Coturnix japonica: one gene and its partner. The protein of the gene in region 2 interacts with the protein of the main gene of each other region in a biochemical or structural test. Links are inferred from orthologs where the notes say so. Each region holds a gene or a part of one and is shown on either strand. Other genes may lie near its edges. The genes, in order: CCNT2 and CDK9.

What was found.
Region 1: the proteins of CDK9 (region 2) and CCNT2 form a complex in vitro, tested with the Homo sapiens proteins (4 studies listed by BioGRID, with this or other methods). The link is inferred for Coturnix japonica from reciprocal best matches to the Homo sapiens genes CDK9 and CCNT2.

Annotation. Positions count from the first base shown.
Region 1 is NC_029522.1:27,675,737-27,678,573, reverse strand, and holds part of CCNT2 (cyclin-T2), read right to left. Parts: intron 2,447-2,837; coding exon 2,283-2,446; intron 976-2,282; coding exon 905-975; intron 712-904; coding exon 1-711. UniProt on the Homo sapiens protein: Regulatory subunit of the cyclin-dependent kinase pair (CDK9/cyclin T) complex, also called positive transcription elongation factor B (P-TEFB), which is proposed to facilitate the transition from abortive to production elongation by phosphorylating the CTD (carboxy-terminal domain) of the large subunit of RNA polymerase II (RNAP II).
Region 2 is NC_029532.1:3,652,248-3,656,685, forward strand, and holds the start of CDK9 (cyclin-dependent kinase 9), read right to left. Parts: upstream 2,864-4,438; 5' UTR 2,821-2,863; coding exon 2,729-2,820; intron 2,424-2,728; coding exon 2,342-2,423; intron 1,920-2,341; coding exon 1,829-1,919; intron 1-1,828. Other genes in the region: SH2D3C (SH2 domain-containing protein 3C), read left to right, coding at 3,663-3,702. UniProt on the Homo sapiens protein: Protein kinase involved in the regulation of transcription.

The DNA of each region.
Region 1 (2,837 bases), on a different chromosome or scaffold from region 2:
CAAGTGCTTTTCAGGCTTCTCTGCATTTGCAATAGGAATTTTCATTTTAATAGGAGATGTAACGGAAGTGCTGCTGGCTGGCTGTGCCTGCACGTGCTTTTTATGTGTCTGTTCACCTGGAGTTGCTACATAGTGTTCTCTTACATCTAGTTCAAGGGTTTCTAGTTTGCGTTTCTCTCTATATTTATCCAAAGACATTTTTTGAGGAATTATTATAGGAGCAGCAACTTGTCCGTGGTGTTTGTTTCCTGACTTATGAGAATATTCTTGTTTGACAGTAGAATGTTCAGCAAGTTTGTCAGGTCTGTGATGCACTCCAGAGTGTAACTGCACAGATGTTCCTTGTTGGAAGTTCATATTATACTGATTAGGAGGTAACGCCTCCTGTTTTTGAGAATATATTTGTTCCGTCCTTGTTTGTTCTTGATGCTGAGGCCATTCCTGGTGCGATGCCAAATTGTATGAGGTACTTGGCATTCCTGTTGCTAGTATTGCCAAATTTTCAGGTGCATGACTGTCTGGAACAGAAATACTTCCTGAGGTCAGAGGTACCGGTGCAGGAAATGACGTTGATGGTTTTTGGAAACTTGTGTTTGCAGCTACACCAGTAACTGTATCCACCAAAATGGAATTCTGGACCAAAGATGAGCCAAGAAGTGAGTTCTCAGATACCTGTCCATCACCTTTAGGTTTCTTAGCAGCTTGGTTAGCCTGAAGAAGATGTGAGAAAATACAAATCTTAGAATGCTAGTGAAAAAAAAAACCAAACAACTAAATTAGCTTACAGGTGAGGATAAAAGCTGATTCAAAGTTTTATCCCCCAGCTGTGCATGGGGAATAAAAAGCAGCTCATAGTTCTTCTGGGAACTTCTTTTTGCTGCACTGATATAGGAAAATTTCTTACCCTCCAATTTCTAATTCTCTTCAGCCTGCTAGGTGTTTTCTCCAGTATTTGAAGAAACTCGTGAGTTAGTTCTGAGTAGAGAAACAAAAAAGATGTTTTACAGCTATGTCTGTAATAAGCAGGTTCAACTTCTATAATTTTTCTAGGCTTTAGCAGTTGTTAGTGCAGGCTACACACAATCTGAATTATTTAATCAAAATCTTGTTTGACAAGTGCTGAACAAAAAAAGGGTACAGTGTTTCACTATGACAGACCTCTAACCACCAAACATGCTCTGCAAAGCAGGTCCACATTTCCAATGTTGTTCATACTCTTGCGGAATCTGCATTTATTAGATGAAAAATTTTCTAGAGGAAACTGTACAAACAAAAGCTCCTAAAATAACACACCTGTCATTCAGCTTAAGTATTTATTGTGTGAAGTTAAGAAGTTTAGACTTTAAAGGAAATTTAAGTCATGGTTTCAGTTATTGCACTGAACTTAAGGAACAACCAGTAATAGCTCTGAGCAAAATATCAGCCATCTGACCCTTTGAAGCACTATTTTAAACAACAGTTTTTGATTTGTGTTCAAGGCAAAGTAGCTGGCTGTGTTTAGAAGGAAAAAAACCCTTTGCAAGTTGTGTGGCCACAAGGAAACACAGATCTCCATACATGTCAGCTCGCATAAAATAATTACTTTTAATTGAAATTTAATTTAATTTTAATGGAAAGCTATGGTGGGCCATATAATGCCTGCACACTTGTACCACTCCTCTGAAACAAGTTCTTCCATCTAGAACTATCAGCAAAGCCCAAAATATTTGAGAACCCAAGAAACTACCACCTCTATAACAGGCCTTAAATTCAGACTCCACTGTAGTAGATACAGTTCCTGTCTTTGGAACTTGCTAATCCACAAACTATCAGGATAGCACATTCAACAAGAGAACACCATTTCTGCAGTAGTTTGAGAGTTGAAACCAAATTGTTAACATAGAATTACCCTTATTAATTTGGCAGTGTTATATTATGACCTGAGAACAGTTGTCTCAGTGACAGTGAAACCAGAAATAACTATCAGAAGAGATGGATTTGCATACATGTTTCTCTGCCCGGTTTCCTTGTTCTGGAAATCATTTAAAAGCAAAACTCTGATGTGCACCTACAGAAGGTACATGGAAATCCCATCCCACAAGTTTAAAAAAGATGGTTTCCAAAACTGTCCTCCTCAGTTCTTCCCTTTCTTATACCTTTGTCTTATATGAGGATTCAGTATGTGAGATCAGTGAGACTTGTTTTGGGATTAAAGCTATGCTCTTACAATACCATGCTACTATTTTTACAGCCACATTAATAAGCATTTGAATCTCAGGATGTGAAAAGGCAGCATTACTTACCATCTAGCAATTCCAGAGTAACTGAAGGATCTACATATTCCCACCAGTGTTTTCCATCAGTTGATACTGGAATCTCCCAGTTGGACCACTTGCAGGCCAAGTGAATGCACACACAAGCTATCACTGTAGGCTTGTATTGAAGACAGAACGTAGTAAGGTGAAGACTGTTGCACACAAATTTTGTAATGAGGAACCAAAGGAAACCAAACATGTAAAACAGGAAAACCAAACAAATCAGCCATTAACATACAGCTTAAGATCATCTGTCAAACAACAGCAGTTAAACAGCAGTTCATGGAACAATTTTCTGTTTAAATTCTTAAGATGCCTTAATGCCTTAGTAAAACTAAGGGCAAGGCATTTATCTGACAAAATTTAATTTGCTGTTCCTATAAAAAGTCCGGTTAATAGTAAATAAAGTCACCATTCATTCTTCTGCACTTAAGTACTAAAAAATAAATCAGTGTAATATGGACAATTAAAATCTTAACTACAGTTAAAAAAAATACAGCTCATTATACAGTCTTTGATTGAGATGATTAGATGAAGATACCC
Region 2 (4,438 bases):
CAGCAAGGGATTTAGTTCCTCCTGACCTCCATCCATCCTCACTCACTAGGTGAAACCTCACGGCAGAGGAACATCAAAACAGGGACTCCAGATGCCTCAAGAGCCTTCAAAAAGAGGTATTAAAACAGCAAAACAAGCAACAGTGGATGAGGATCAGAGTGGTAGTGAACATCATGAGAAAGGCAAAGCAAGAGCAAAAAAGTCTTTGAAAGCTTCATTTGTGTGTTGTGCTGCGTGTATTAACAGCTGTGGGGTTTTGTGCCTACAAACTGCAGCCCGTGGGTGCACACACACAGCTGACAGCCGAGCACAATCATTGCATCAGCATTAGAGGAGGAACAGGCAAAGACAGACTCACAGGAATACAGCAAATATTTCTAAAGCAACATCAGAAAGTGAAGTTTACTGCAACCTCAAATGGTGTCTATGAGAACAGACTGATGCAGATCAATATGATTTAAAACCCCAACTTCAATTGCAATTTATGGTCAATGACAGGAAACCTCAAATGAAGCAATCAATTTCAATCTTGCTCCTAGAGCACACGTGCAAAACACCAAAACAAAAGGCTGATTTTGATCAGCTGTGCACAGCAAAACCTGCTGATCAGCAGCAAGAACCAGAAAATGTGGGCTAAGCTCAGCCTGCACAGTAAATGCAGCCTGGAGGATGCTTTCTAGATTGCACATGACAGTGGTGCCGTCCTCACAACCCCTCTTCCAACATAAAAAGAGAAAAGCTTAAAGTCTGAGAACAGTCAATGAAATGTTTCTGTTTTTCACTTGAATCTGAGGTCAAGGTAGAAAAGTAGAATTTAAACAAGACCCAAACAATCTGACACAGCTACAAAAATATTGACCTGAGACGTGCCAGCAGCATGCAGTCATCACAGCTGGTTTAATCAATCCAAGAATTAAACATTAACTCAGTGTTTTTCCTCCTACCTACTGGTTCAAAAACCGACAGTTACCTACATTCTATGGAGCAACACCAAGTTCCCAGACCTAGGCCTGAGATTCCTACCAGTTGAGTGTAAAAAACAGCAGCAGAAAGGTGCTATTATCAATTGTATTTAACCAAAAAGAACTGACTACAGCATGGCAGGCTTTAATATCATCTGTCGCTTTCCAAACCTCTTTTGCAGTACAAATCCATATAAGAGAAGGATATATAAAAATGAGGAAATGCTTTAAAATGATTTCCCTGGAAACTGAGCCTGGCCAGGTGCATTAAGCACATCAGTCACACAGCAGAGACGTGCTGCCTCCCCCAGGGACTGCCTGCAGCGATGAGATGGAACAGCAGCTCAGCACAGAGCAACTGAATTGCTCACTGTGAAGTGGCAGCACTTCCAATCCAGCCCTCAAAGCCTGGGGGGTTCTGTCATGCACAGGAGAGGCTGAGCAAGTCTCCAGCTGGAGCTGTCACCAGCACAAAGCTCCACGAGCTGCAGAAACACGGCTCCTGCTCCCAATGGCATCAGCATCATAAAGCTGCAAAACCACCACCAGGCAGAAAACGTTCTGTTTCACATTCTCTCCTGCTGCAGGTTCATTTAAAGCCATTCAGCCAGCACACAGACAGCAGTCACTGAGACAGCACAGGCATGTGCCAGCAGCACTGACAACAGCTTTTTCCAGCCAAGCTGCAGCACAGTAGCACTCATTCAAAATGAGTTTCCACAGATGAGCGTGTGGTCACCCCAGATTAAACACATGCTCAGCTGGAGGATCCACCCCCAGTGCAACACAGCAGCCTGCTGAGCCAAGAACAAAGGCTGAAAACAGACACCCCCTCAGCACAGCACAAATGAGACCCCGGCAGCTACCTTTGGTCCTACAGATTTCTATGAGGTTCACCACATTCTCATGCTTCAGCAGCTGGAGGATTTTAATCTCTCGCAGAGCTGTGATGGGGAACTGGAAAGGAGAAGACACAGGTTAGGAGTGCAGCTCACATCTGCTTATAGAACAGGAGAGATTGGACTGCTGCAGCACAGGACACCTGCTTGAGTAGCACTGCAACAGCTCATTTAAGAGTAATTGAAACTACAAAACATTACAGGGGCGACAAAACTCATTGGCCACCCTTAGGATTCTGCCACAAGGTGGAGGTGTTTGTGTGACATGGACACCTGCCCTCCTTTCCCATCTATGAGCACAGCACATGGCAAAGCCCCAATTGACCCACAGCACAACCACCCCACCCCCATGTGCTGTGTGCTGTTACTCAAGACCTGGCACGTTACAGCAGTAAACACCATTAAAGTTAATACACACTGATGTTCCATAGCCCACCCCCCACCCCATCCCCTCCATAGCACAGCACAGCTCACACCTACCCCCTCCTTCTCGTTCTCCATCAGCACCTTCTTCAGCGCCACCTTTTTCCCCGTCTGCCGGTGTTTGGCTTTGAACACCTCCCTGTAACAACAAGAAGAGACCCATGTAACAACAAGGACCCATATAACAACACGGAGAGACCCACGTAACAACAAGGACCCACGTAACAACAACAAGGACCCATATAACAACACGGAGAGACCCATGTAACAACAACAAGGCCCCATGAGCCCCATAAGGAGGAGGCCGAGGCCCGCAGCCCCCACAGCACAAAGGCCCCGGGTCAGGCCGCGGCCTGTTCCCCATGACGCTGAATAACAGCAGATAATCGGCCCCATAGGAGCCATGCCCGGGCTGGGAGCAGAGCCGAGGCCCGCAGCGCTCACCCGAACGTGCCCTGCCCGATCTTGGCGAGCTTCTCGTACTTGGACACCTCATCGCAGAACGGGCACTCCACCATGTCGTACTGCTTGGCCATGCCGGCCGACGGCTTCACTTCCGCCCTCTCGCCTTACGCTATTTCCGGCGCGCCGGCGCGCTGCCTGCTGGGATTTGTAGTCCACCTTAGGCCGCCATGTTGTCACCCCGGATAAACCCGTATCACCCTGCGGCTTTATGGCTGTCTATAGCTGTGTGCCCGCGTTCCCTCCCTCACAGTGTCACCCACATAGGAAGGGCCGTGGCCATACAGGGACACTCCATAGGACAAGGCCCTGGGGCTGCCCACCAGCTCTGGGCCACTGCATCCCCCATAGAAATGACCCCACAGACAACACAGCTCCACCAGCACATGGTGCAGTGGGGCCTTGGGGCTCCACCATGGAGCTGAGCCCCATATGGGGACCTCCAGCCATGGAGCTGCCAGCCTGCCCCATGCCGGCACCCAGCCATTCAAGGGCGGCCCTAAAGCACATTAATCCCATTAATGGCACCTGAGCAGCCAGGAGGGGACTGTAGGGACAACAAGGGATGGGACTGCAAGGATCACAAGGGATGGGAGCACAGGGACAGCAAGGGATGGGACTGCAGGGACAATATGGGATGGGAGTGCAGGGATCACAAGGGATGGGAGTGCAGGGACAACAGGGGATGGGACTGAAGGGACAATAAGGGATGGGAGCACAGGGACAATAAGGGATGGGACCGCAGGGGATAGCGGGGACAGCAGCTGCCATAAGAGCAGATGGCAGCAGCGAGGAGGAAGCGCTGAGTGATTGAGAGAGCAAAGCGAGAGGCGGAGGGGGGACAGGAAGGGAGGAGCAGGCAGGGACAGGCTTCAAGTTTATAAACTTGTCCCTGCAGCCTCCACCCAGCACAGCCATGGCTGAGGGCCAGAAACGAGGGGGCTTCAAGAAATTCAGTAAGTCGTATCGGGATGGAGGGGGTGGGTGCTGGGTGCTCACCTGGGCTGGCGTGGGTGGGAAGGGGGTGTGTGAGTGTGAGCGTGGTCACCTCTCATTAGCAAGAAGTCTTCAGTTTTGTTAGGAAACTGGGGGCTCTGGGGGCTTCCATCCCCACAGCTGGAGCAAACCCTGGTGCTGATGGCTCTGGTGCTGGGGTTGGACTGGGAGCAGTCTGCTTGCACTGGTTGCCAGCATGTGACAGGGGTGAACCATTGCTCTGATCCCCCAAATCACAGCTTTCAGGGAGCATTTACCCCTCTGCATGGCTGGGGCTGGTGGTGTCCAGGAGCCCTCTGTGTGCTCCTGCAGCAGAGGGATGGGGTGGATGCTGGGGATAAATCTGCACTGATGGAGCCGCGCTCGGGACCGAAGCGGTGGGAGCTGAGCACAGAGGAAGTGCTGCTGCCCACCAGGAGGGAGCTGAGCTCTTTCTCACAGCCCTCGGGTTTTCCCCAAAGCCCTCGGAGGAGGCTCCATGGGGCTGCACGCCGCCAGCGCTGCACTGAGCAGGACATTGCCTTCACTGCTGCTCCCCGCATTCCTCTGCCTCCATCATGCTGATGCCGGCGCCGGAGGGAGGCCGACCCCTGAGCTCCCCCGGGAGCTGAGCAAAACCCATCTCCCACGGCCCCGGCCAAGCTGGGATTTTCCATTGTGGTGGAATGCGGGGGAAATGGGGAAGGCCCCCAGCTT